Ovis aries: one gene and its partners. The protein of the gene in region 2 interacts with the protein of the main gene of each other region in a pairwise test. Links are inferred from orthologs where the notes say so. Each region holds a gene or a part of one and is shown on either strand. Other genes may lie near its edges.

The links.
Region 1: the proteins of OSGIN1 (region 2) and BCAR3 interact in binary tests that used the Homo sapiens proteins (3 or more experiments, as listed by UniProt). The link is inferred for Ovis aries from reciprocal best matches to the Homo sapiens genes OSGIN1 and BCAR3.
Region 3: the proteins of OSGIN1 (region 2) and CAPN3 interact in binary tests that used the Homo sapiens proteins (3 or more experiments, as listed by UniProt). The two-hybrid records come from large-scale screens. The link is inferred for Ovis aries from reciprocal best matches to the Homo sapiens genes OSGIN1 and CAPN3.

The regions. Positions count from the first base shown.
Region 1 is NC_056054.1:70,768,680-70,772,219, forward strand, and holds part of BCAR3 (breast cancer anti-estrogen resistance protein 3), read right to left. Parts: exon of another isoform or gene 1,782-3,540; intron 980-1,781; coding exon 851-979; intron 1-850. UniProt on the Homo sapiens protein: Acts as an adapter protein downstream of several growth factor receptors to promote cell proliferation, migration, and redistribution of actin fibers.
Region 2 is NC_056067.1:9,817,821-9,822,082, reverse strand, and holds the start of OSGIN1 (oxidative stress-induced growth inhibitor 1), read right to left. Parts: upstream 2,812-4,262; 5' UTR 2,715-2,811; intron 2,534-2,714; exon of another isoform or gene 2,475-2,533; intron 958-2,474; 5' UTR 774-957; intron 1-773. UniProt on the Homo sapiens protein: Monooxygenase catalytic activity. Involved in regulation of cytokinesis; promotes RHOA activity, probably acting locally at the midbody in late cytokinesis.
Region 3 is NC_056060.1:35,935,860-35,940,140, reverse strand, and holds the start of CAPN3 (calpain-3), read right to left. Parts: upstream 2,837-4,281; 5' UTR 2,513-2,836; coding exon 2,204-2,512; intron 1-2,203. UniProt on the Homo sapiens protein: Calcium-regulated non-lysosomal thiol-protease. Proteolytically cleaves CTBP1 at 'His-409'. Mediates, with UTP25, the proteasome-independent degradation of p53/TP53.

The DNA of each region.
Region 1 (3,540 bases), on a different chromosome or scaffold from region 2:
AGTGATTGACTGGTCGGATCATGTTACAATAAAAACTCAAGGAAAATTCTATACCTCAATTCTGCACTTATTTTTCAATTTCTATACTATTAAATACAAAAACATTATTCATGGCTAGGACCCAAAGGACAATCACACAAAGTATATTCTGGCTATGAGTCTGTGGTCGCGGGTAAAATTCGTCTTCCCCATTTCTGGGCCAGGGGCCGGATAGGGGAGTCAGACACGACTGAGCGACTTCACTTTCACTTTTCACTTTCATGCATTGGAGAAGGAAATGGCAACCCACTCCAGCATTCTTGCCTGGAGAATCCCAGGGACTGGGGAGCCGGTGGGCTGCCGTCTATGGGGTCGCACAGAGTCGGACACGACTGAAGCGACTTAGCAGCAGCAGCAGCAGCAGCAGAGAATGAATAATTGCCGGCCCCACTAGGGCACAGGCGGCCTGTTTCTCTGGGTTACCTGCCCTGATGATACCCTCTTTTCACCTGAAATTAAACCACGGCCTTAAGAAGGAAGCAGGCTCCACAGGCTATGAGGCTGCAGGCAGCTGGCCAGGAGTTCAATTAGCTGAACCACAGCCCGCCCTCATATTCCCCGAGGTGCCACCCTGCATGGCTGCCTCCCACTGGGCCCGTGTTTACAGACCGCAGAACAACTGCTTTTCCTTCATCCCCTCACTGGCCACAGGCAAATGGACTTTGAATTCTGACCTTAGCTCTTCCCAAGATCTCCTTAGAAACGGGCCTACGTTAAGTCACCGCAAGCCACTTCATATTATTTCGTTTGGGCTGAACTGGAGCTTGCTCCTAACAGCCCTGGGCACATGACCTTGCGTGCAGGCAGGTACCTGTCGGGGGATGCGGCCGTGGTACCAGGCGTGGCTGCGCAGATCCTCACTGCTCAGCAGCAGCTCCTCCTCCAGCTCCTTCTTCAGCCTCTCAGGGGTCCTGTCCATGACGTGCCTCTCCTTGGAGAACTGCAACACAGGGTCCCCAGTCACCAGTGACCTTCCCACCCTGCTCAGACTGGCGAGCCCAGGCCAGCCACCCAGAGAAGACAGCCTTGCAGTCAGCTGCTTTGCTATCAAAGCAGTATATCCCCAAAGCCCCGGTCAGGTAGGGGAGCCTGGATAATGATTACAATTAGCTGTGACCTTTCATTTCTCTGGCTGCAAGTGTGCAGTAAAATTTTCACCTGCACACAGGGACTATGACAGCAGAGTTAGCCAAGCTGCTCCTTTTATTGCTCTGCTCGTGAAGCAGCTGAAAACGTGGGGAGCAGGGTGGGGGGCAGCAGGGAAACAGATGTGTGGGGCATGAGGTACATCAAAATTGCTTAGGGAGCTTCCTCGTTCTCCTTCTGAACTGTCCTGACACACAGCTGGGAAGGACACAGTCCCCACCTGGCCCTGGAGGGACAACACTGTCCAAAGTGCTGCCTTAATGACCTGAATGTTTTGCTACTGGCCAACTCCAGTTCAGGACTGAGTTTGCTTTTAGAAACGTTTGGAGCAATTGAACAGAGTAATGTCTCCTGCATCTACTAACAGAAGTCGGAGTTTGTGTTTTGTATGTGATTTTAATTTCATTTTTCTAATATTTTTTTTATAACAGACTGGAAATTGAAACTTAAAGAACTGACTCTTCCCTTCAGGCAGTTTGAGAATCACTATCTCTAGGTCTTTGTCCAGCGGCCGGGACAGGAGTTCTGGGTGGGTAGCGCTCACTGGGGTTTAATTTAGAACCCACACCCACTTACAACATATGAACTGAACTTGGACACCTGCCGGGTTCCTAGCAAAACCAGGCTCAGGGACTATGGCTGAAGGTCATACAAGAAGGAAAAGGTCATGCGCATGTCCTTGTATTTTCTCAATTTTCCCAGGTTGGCTTCAAAAGTCTGTAGGACTCACAAAACTATCCTCATCATTCTGCCCTGCACCTTAGCAAGGAAAGAGCCCCCAAACTGCCTTTACTCAAGGAAAAGACCTGGGGGCTTCCCTGGTGGCTCAGTGGTAAAGAATCTACCTGCCAGTTCAGGAGACACAGGTTTGATCCCTGACCCAGGGAGTTCCCACAGGCCGCAGAGCAACTAAGCCCACGTGCCACAACTACTGAGCTAGCGCTCTAGAACCCAGGACCTCAACCACCGAAGCCTGCGCCACCTGGAGTCTGCGCTCTGCCAAGAGAAGCCACTGCAATGAGACGTTGGAGCAGTGCAGCTGAGAAAAGCCCGCACGGCAATGAAGACCTGGCACAGCCAAAAGAAAGTAAATAAAATTAAAAAAAAAAAAAGAAGAAGAAGAAAAAGACTTGGGATTTTACTGCTGGATTCTTATCCTCAACCCATGAGGGCTCTGGCAGCAGAATGCGTCCCCAGCTGCTTTCGAGGTAAGGATCTGGCTTACTAATTATTTACTTCTCCCCTTCCCCTTCCCCTCCACTCCTCACAGTGCAGGCCCTCGGGAGTGTTTGATGGATGAGCTGAATTCCTATCAAAGCGATGCTGATGCAGGCTGCCCATGGCGCCCGCAGGCATTAGCAGTGATGTCTGACACTGTCGGCTTCGATCATTAATTATGTACAGGTACATCTGAAGAGAGCTCCTGGGGAAGACTTGAGTACAGAATGTAGGTTGTCAACCAGGCCACATGTGCTATGCGTTTATTGTCTGTCTCACCTCCTGCTAGATAATCAGCGTCACGAGACCAGAGCCCATCTGCCTGCCTCGCTGTTGCCCTCGAGAAGTGCATGAACACGTGGGGTACCCCCTACTCACTGAATGAACAGATAACCCAAGATGAAGAAGGCCTGTGACTTTTCTTAGTTATGAAAGTTCTATTTCCTCTCAAATTACCTGAAACCCTGTTATAGTTGGGTGTGTTGCCATACAGCTACAGGATGATAGTCCTCAATCTCCCTCTCTTACTGGGAGGTGCGGCCACATGACCAAGTTCTGGCCAGAGAAGGATAAACTGCCACTCTGGTGGGACTTGCAAGCTGAGATGTGATGGCTGGAGCTGCAACACCATCCTGGACCATGAGGAAGAAGCCAAGCCACAGGAACTGGGGTGAGGGTGGGGCAGGCAGAAGGCCTGAACAAGCCCAGGTCCCTCACAGCAGTAAGGCCAACACCCCAGCCCTGGATTGCCCATTTCCAGGTCTTCCATGTAACCTCTCTTTTTTAAGCCTGTTATTTTGAGTGTTCCTGTCACTAGCAGCTGAGTTAAATCCTGGCTGATACTGTGACCCAGGCCTCTATTTAGCCACCCTGGCAATCTGTATGTCCAGCCTAAATCCCTTGTCCTGAGCCCTGAAAATGCAGCAACCAGCAGCTCCCATCCTCTGCATAACCCTCCACTGAAGCTGTATTTGCCCTAACCCCTAAAGCTATTGCCATACTTCTGTTTGCATTCCCCTTGCTCCCTGATTCCCAACATCCAGGCCATGTCCCACCACCCTCACCCTCTCTCTCCTTCTCAGCATCTCATCAATATCAAAGCTGTTTTTAACATTTTATACATGACAATCTTTTACT
Region 2 (4,262 bases):
GTGGCACAGGGCCCAGACCGCCCCGAGCAGCCAGGGATGGGAGCCTGGCATCACCCGCCTTCAGAATTCTTCCAGGAAAAAGCTTAAATCCGGATTTTTATGTGAATTCCCTGATTTGGAAGAGTATGCAACTGATTCACGTTTTTTGCAAATCTTGAACGGGCTGAGGGAGCACGACCGAGGCCAGCGTGGGACCTCTGATGTGCCAAGAGTGACAGCAACACCAGTGTCCCCCACCGGGCGGGGAGGGGACAGCCGGGGGGTCTGGCCAGAGGACCTGGGTGTCGCTGCCACGGCACTGACAACGGGCCCGCCCACAGCCTTTACAGTTTGCAAGGAGAGGAGCTTGCAGCTAAGCCACAGCATCTGTGCCCCGCAGGCACCTGGAGAGGCGGGCGCCGTCATCTCCGGCTGGCAGTTGAGCGGGGGGGGCTTGGAGGCAGCAGTGTCACAGGGGGGTGTGCCCTCTGGTCTCCAGAGAACCGCCTCAGTGGGGCCTGGGCCATGAGCTGTATCCCCCATCAGGGACCCCTTGCCCCACTCCACTCCTGGTTCCCTGCAGGGACCCCGCTGTCCGCTCTGGGGTGACACCACAGCCACATAGAACAACCAACATTTCTGAACTTCTGCGGGCTGAGCCGGGTGCTGAGCATGCCCTGAACACTTGACGCACATTCACCAACTTAACCCACATTTAACCGGGTTGTTAGAAGTACTCTCACGACCGCACCCATATTACAGATGGGGAAGCTGAGGCCCAGCAAGTGTCTCACCGTCCTGGATGGCTTGCGGGGAATTTGCCACAAGGGGTGCCGGCTCAACTGGTTTTGAGCCTGGGCTGCTCTGTGCGAGGGCCTTCTCGTGCCCCCCGAGGCAGTGTGACAGGGTGTCACGGGGTGTGACAGCGTGTGATGGAGGCCCCTCCAGGCTGAGTGCAGCTCTGTCCCAGTGCTCCACCTGGGGGGGGGGGGGACAGCGTCTCACTGGCCAGCCGCTGGGTGTGCCGGTGGCCCTGGGGCAGGGGCTGTGGTTCCTAGAACACTCCCTTCACACAAGCCCAGGGCTCCACGCTGATGTCCTCACTGTCCCCAGGAACAGGTGACATCCTTGTCACGACATCCTTTCGCATCGGCGCCTTTCATCCTCAGGGAAAGCACTCTACAGACGAGCAAACTGAGGCTCAGGGCAGTGAGGCCACGCCCCCGATGTCAGAGAGCCAGTGGATAATGAATCAAGAGTTTGGTCCCTAGACACCCCACAGCCTGCCACATGGGGTACCCACAGAGCGCCCACCCCAGGACAAGTCATTTTCTGCCCTGTCCCTGTGAATCCTCCCAGCGCCAGTAAGAGGGGTGTTTGCAGGAGCCCCCGTTTATAGACAAGGAGGCACTGCAGGCTGCCTGTCTTCACGCTCCCAGGAGGGAGAAGGCCCCATTCACCACCAGGGCTTTTGGACCCCACGTCCAGTGCTCATGCCAGAAACTTCTGGATGCCACACGCATGAGGTCACCACCCAGAGGCTGACCTGAGCGGTTGCTTCCTGCACCGCAATACACAGGGCCCAAGTCCCGAGACTTGGAGCTCTCAAAACCTCCTCGGAAGAGTGCACGCTGCCAACTTTCCATTTGAAAGTGTAACTTCCTATTTCTCACACACTGTTTAGTTTTGGGGAGCTGGGAAGGTCAGTTTCCAACGTCCCTCTGGTTGAAGACGGCAAATGTTGACATTAAAAAGGCCTTCAAGTTCACAGGAGAAAAGCAGCGTAAAAGAAATGGGAATAATTGCACCTTCCTGGGTGTGGAGCGTAGAGTTTGGAGCATTGCAATTTCTAGGGTTATTGAAGATTACACTGCTCTAAGGCTTAGGACACCTGTATGGCTACATTTACTGAGCACCTGCGGTACTTTTGCTCATTTCACTTTAATGACAACCCTCCTACCCCACCCCGTGGATTTTTTTTTTTTCTGTTATCCCTATTGCCCAAAGGGAAAAACTGGGGTCAGGAGGGTGGTGTCTTTTCCAGGAATGTCAGAGACCACACCCCAAACCCTGCCCTGTGACACCTGTCGGAGTCCCCTCTGAGGAAGATGACACAACAGTGCCCCCAAGAAAGTGCCGTGAGGCCGGGGCAGAGGAGGATGGGGAGGTGCTCCGCCAGCCCAAGTGCCACCTGCCAGTCACCAGAGTGAGCCCTTGGCCTCTGCACCCACCCCCTGATACCAGTGCCCCCAGAGCCTCCCTCATCTGGAGCCCCAAGAGCTCTCCAGACCCTCTGAAACTCCACTCCTCATTCTCGGTACCCCCAACCCTCCTGTGAGAAGCCAGGTCCCCCTCGACCCTGGGGGCTCGGTCCGTGAGAACAGGAGAGGCGGAGACGGAGGGCAGCACCCAGCCTGCCCGCGGGACCTGGTCAGCCGGCCTGGGCTGGCCACACCTCTCTTTCCTGCCTGGAGTAGCATCACGTGGGCTGAGGTGAACTCCCAGCAAGCCAGCCGGCAGGGCAGCTGTCAGCGAGGGTGCCAGGCACCTGGAGGTGGGCATGGCCAGGAGGGGGGGAGGAGGATCTCGGGGGTTGGGGGGGGGTCATGCTGGTCATGGGGAGCCGGGGTGGTCCGCCCTCAGGACCGCCTGGGGTCCCCTTGCCTGGCCCCAGGGCCCTGCCCGGGTCGGGCTACCTTCTCCCACCTCCCCCAAGCCTCGCCCGGGTCACTCACCTGACCGGCCGGGGTCGAGGACACTGGGGAGCGCGGTCAGGCCTCTCGGAGAACCTGGGTCAGGGAGCCGGGTTACCCCGTAGGGATTCAAGAGGGTGCGAGAGACGGGAAGCCCGGGTATTTCAGGGGCTGGGAAGAGGCGGGCGGAGGGCGGGGCCAGGAAAATCACTTTCATAAGCGTGAGTCAGCAGGGGCCCCTGGATGAATGAACTTGCACACTTGAGGGCGAGCGGTCACGTTGCCAGCCCCGGGGGACGGCCTTAGAGGGCCCACCCCGGGGTGGTCCATGGCGAGGAGGCGGGGCGGACACCGGCCGGGCTGAGCCAACCTGGCCTTTCGCCTTTTAGGGAGGCGGAGACAGTCCCGCCCAACGTACCATCAAGGCGGTCGCTTTGAGTGGAGAAAGTCCCGGTTCTGCTGGGGGTCTCCGCGGTTCTCCACCCCACGCCCCCTCCTGGCTCGGCCCCAGGCTGGGAGCCCCGCCCTGCCCGCTCCTGGGTGGGCTGCCTCAGTTCCCCCGTCTGCGAGGGGGGCCATGCGGCACCTCTCCTTCCTGGGTGACCGTGCTGTTTCGGTGACTGTGCCTGAAACAAGGCTCAGAGCTCCTTTTCTTCATTCCAGCCCCCCACCTCTCCGTCTTTAGCCAGGAGCATTGCATACCTCACGTTCTGCTGATCCTTATGGATTTTGTTATATTATCGTCTCTCCCCAAACCGGGATGTGGATTCTGTATGGTGCGGGAAGCATCTCTACGTCTGTTCTATCCCACGTCTGGGAGGGCACTCAGCACAGTTAGGGCGCTCAGGAAAGGAAAGTCGGGAGGAAGTGAGGGCAGTGCTTGGCCTATAGACTCAATGCCTATTAGCTGTTATTTCATTTTTCATGCGATTGTCACCTCTCTTACCTGGAGACTTTCCTGCCAGCCCTGCCCTGTGAGGGGGACCAGGGATATGTTTTGCCCCACTACCGCTGGGACCAGGGTGAAGCAAGAAGGTCCTCACCTTGTGTACAGCATTTAAGGGGAAGCCCCAAAACACTCAGAGATCAAGAAAAAGAGCATTTTGATGCAATTGAAAAAAAAAAATCAAAATTAATGCCCAAATGGTACTTCCCCGGCGGTCCAGTGGTTAAGACTGTGTTCCCAATGCAGGGGCACAGGTTTGATCCTGGTCAGGGAACTAAGATCTCTCATACTTCATAGTGCAACCAAAGAAAAAAAAGATTAAAAAAAATTAATGTCCAAAACCCAAGATGAACAAAATTGTTAAAACTTCAGACAAAGGCAGTATCTCTAACCAGGCCATGCTGAGCAGTACCGGAACCTGCTGCAAAAATCAGATGCTGATGCTGCCTTTATTTAACACTTTGATGTTTTGTTCATCCTGGATTTTGGTGTTTTTTATATTCTTGATTTTTAAAAATATGGTGGGGCTTCTGTGGTTAAGAATCTACCTGCCAGTGCAGGGGACACGGGTTCGACCCCTGGTCTGGGAAGATCCCACGTGCTGCAGTGAAGCCTGTGAGCCTCAGCTACTGAGCCTGCGTGCC
Region 3 (4,281 bases), on a different chromosome or scaffold from region 2:
GACATTTTAACAGAGATTGGGCTTTGCTATCTGGCCCTTTAGAGACAGTACAAAGTTCCGGACTTGGGGGGGGCGGTGGTGGTGGGAGCACAATTTAGGACAAGGCTTCTCATGGCCTTCCTTTCACATTGACAATGGCAGTTTGTTTCAGGACCCATCTAGGGCCTAGAGCATAACAGACCCATTTAAAGCATGTTTATTAATGTGTAGGTCTAAGTTTTAAGGCTAAAATCCACCAACAATTTCACTAAAAGCAGTATTTGTAAGTTTTTTGGTTTTTGTCTCTGCAGAACTGTTAGAAAAGGCTTTCAGGAACTATCAGGTTGGAGCACAGGACTGTCCCCTCTCAGAGGTCAATACTCTGTGATGTGGGCTTTCATTTACCACCAGCAGCTGAGTGCCTCCTGCGGGCTAGGTGCTTTGCTGAGTGAGGGGCTCCCAAGAGGAATGAGAATGCTCCCCCCCTCTCAGCTGATGGGAATGGCCATGAGAAAGCTGGAAGGAAGTGATACCTGAGCAGGGTTTCACAGCAAGGGTAAGGCAGAACAAAGCAGATAAAAACAAGGGCATGGCAGGCAGACAGCAGGAGCAAAGGCTGAGAGATATAAGACTTGAGACAACAGAGCAGCTGCGTGTGACAGGGTCCAGGGGAGAGGGTGAAGGAGAGATGGACAGGGAGGCCGGGCTGGCTGGAGGAGAGGCAATCCCCCAGGTAGGGAGTTTGATCTCAAGGCCTGCGGGCGGGGGCAGGGAGAGCGGTGTGGTTGAAGGTATTTCAGCAGGGATGTGATGTGTCCCAGTGCCCTGGCAGCAAGGCAGTGACTGGCTTGGGGAATGAAGTTCTTTCCAATCCTCTCTTGTAAACCGAGGGCCCTCAGGACAGTCATGGGCCTGGCCGCAGAACCGGCAGGTGCAGGGTGGGGCCCTTGGGGAACACAGTGTGAAGACAGGGTTGCTGGCTACTTCATCTCAGGTTAAAAACAGACACATGGCTCATGAACAGCACCAGGCCCCAGTGCTTCTTTTCACTTTGCCAGTGGCCATGTGGTTCTGAAATACAGAGCCCTGGAAAGAGGAGAGTGGCAGCGAAGACTACTTTTTCAAGCACAAAATGTTAGGATTAGAAGGAGAAGCCCCAGCCGTCATTTGTCCTCACCTCCTGAATGAGGAAATAAAGACACACCACAGCGAGGCTTATCCAGTTTAACCCCATGAAGCTAAAAAACAGCACTCAGATAACATGGGTTCCTCAGGAGGGGCTCTCTCTCTCTGGCGGAGGTTAACTCTCCTTGCCTTCTGATCCCATAGCACCCTGAGCGTTGTCTCCTGCAATTTATCCATCTTATTCAAAGCATGTCTTGCCCTCAGGACTCTTGGCTGAAGGTGGGCAGGAATTTTTGTTTTTCTTATTTACGCTGACTCCTCAGTTGCTTGCCTGGTTTCTGGCTTAGAAGACGTTCAAAAATACTTATTGAATTAAAGAAAGGGTCATGTCAGAGGTGTGATCAGAGAAGGAAGCCTGGAAAATGTAACTTGCCTTCCGGTAGATTACTGTACATGGAAGCCAAAGGCTGGAAGAGCCCTTAAGAGAGAAAGGGTTTTCATCCAGGCTGTCATGCGTGTCTTGAATAGGCTTTGCTGTGGTGTGTCTTTATTTCCTCATTCAGGAGATTAGGACAAATGATGGCTGGGGCTTCTCCTTCTAATCCTAACATTTTGTGCTTGAAAAAGTAGTCTTCGCTGCCATTCTCCTCTTTTTAGGACTCTGTATTTCAGAACCACATGGCCACTGGCAAACTAAAATGAACATCACAATTTTCACCCTCCAGTGAGAGAGTGAAAACAATCCTAATAAGATGCAGGACACCCAACAGAGAGTAGATCTGGACTCCTCTCCAAGTCAGAATTTTGGAAGTTGTTTGGCTATTCCAGTTTGGAATTTGTTCTGGGAAAGGAATATTTCCTTTTTATAGGGTGAATTAAATTGAGTTCCAATTGCTTTCATAAAATAACAAGATTTTTTTCAGAAAGAGAGCAAGGAGTGAGAATGAGCCCTCCTCCCTTGAGGACAGAGCCCCATGGAGCTGTTCCAGGATCCTCCACCCAGTGCCCTGTGCCCCCATGAGCTGTGCTGTGGAGAAGTGCTGAGTAGGAGGTTTTCCCTGAGGAAAAAAACCCAAGCAGCGAGCAGTCAGCTACTCACCGGAGGTCTCTTCCAGATGAACTGGATGGGGAACTTCTGGCTGTAAAACAGGGAGGTCTCGTCCGGTGGGAACTCAGGATCCACAAAAAGAACCTTCTTTTCCAGACATTTCCTGTGGAGCTGCTCGAAAGTCTTCTCTTTCACCCCAATAATGGGAAAATTGCGGCTGATGATGGCTGAGTAGATGCCACTTGGGTTTCCACCCCCTGCCTCAGTGCCCTTGCCCTGGGCTGCCTGAGCGATGGGCCCTGGGGACCTGGGCTCAGCCCCTGTCCGTGGGGCCACAGAGGCGCTAATGACAGTCGGCATGGCAGGCAAATTTGGAAAGAAAAGGTTTTTAAAGACAGCAAGATTCAGCTACCTTTAAGGAAAGGAAGCAACTGCAAAGGGGAAGTTCCAGTGATTCTGTCATCGGAAAGAAAAATGTCCACATCCAATTCGAAGTTTAAAACCCATCAGAAGGTCATCCAGCTTAAAAACTGAGCTGTGGTCCGGAAGCCATCAGTTTTCCTGAGGAAGGAGCACTAAATGATTTCTGCAGCAGTTTCTACCTGGGGGGCTCCAACCAGCAGCATACATACCAGAGGGAGAGAAAGAGAGTGAGGGTTGTGTTTCCGTGGCCCAAAGAAGCTTGAGCCAGGAAGACCAAAAATAGACATGAAGAAAGATCATGAGTATGAGAGCAAGAGAGAGGGTAGTGGTGCAGCTAGACTGCGTGGTAGAGAGAGAAGGACCTGGTCAGTGGTGTCCCTGTGTTGCCATGAAGTGCTGACGTTATCAGGAAATGAAAGGGGAATATGTGAGAAAGTTGAAACTGAAAATTAGCAAAGAATGGCAGATGCAGTATTGAATCAGCAGACTACCAAACTATCGACCACCAGATTAATGGAGAACAACACTGAGAAAAGCTAGCAAGTGTGGATGTGAGATACTGAATTCTAGGAGAATATTCTAGGCATTTTTGAGAACATGGGTTTTTACTTTTAAAAATTCTAGGATATCAGAACCTTATTCGACTTGATTTGGCATCTCTTCTAGAATGTTCTGATGTCAGCGTTCAGTGAAAGCGTCTGGGTGGAAAATGCCACTCAGCAAAGTTCTCAGCTGAGAAAATCCCTGTCTCTTCTTGACTTAGGCATCGCTTGTCTCTCCCCACCTCCCCAAATCAACACTGGGACCAGATCCTCTACAGAAGTGTACCTGAACACAGCATATGCAGGCATGCCACATTAGGCATCTGAGTCAGAAGTTGGAATTGGATACTGAGCCAGGTTGGCTGTCAAGTCCTGGCATGTGATACCTAAAAAGGTGGCTTTGGGCACAAGTGGCTCTGGGGAATTGCCTGCCTGGCCTCCACCTTGTCTTCTGCTCATGGTAGCTGCTACCCAGGCTGTAAGGAGATTTCCAAGTGTGGCTGAGTGGAAATTAGTCCCAGACTGCAGTCCCGCCTGTCCCCATGTGACCACCTCATCAGCCCAAGGCTAGAGGCTATGAGAGAAGTGGGGAAGTGACAGATGGAATAGGGAGAATTACAGGGTCATGATCCACCAGGGTTGCAGTTTTGAAGAGCCCTAGGTCTGGAGTTGCAGCTTGTAGGAACCATAAGCTTATTCTCCCATCCCTCCAAGGAAAAGCCCAAGGGTCTTTACTGCTGCTCTTGCAGAGCAGAACAGAGGAGGGAGCATCTGAAGCTGATGTCTAGGTTCACAGTCTAGGCTTGTGGCTCCCTTGCTGAGCCTGTGCAGCTGTAGGGGGAGTGTGTGTGTTAGTCGCTCAGTCATGTCCGACTCTGTGACCCTATGGACTGTAGCCCGCCAGGCTCCTCTGTCCATGGGATTTTCCAGGGAAGAATACTGGGGTTGGCTGTCATTCCCATCTCCATGATTAAGTAGGTTACTTCCTCCTTTCATCTGATGTCTCAGTCTTCTTGCCTATAATATGGGTATAATGGTAGTCATTCTGTTATTGAGTTGTAAAAATTAAGCAAATTGTATAAAACATTTAAAATAGTGCCAGGATTGTCTTAAGCACATAATAAATGTTGTTATTGTGTCAACTTAAAAAAAAAGCACAACATG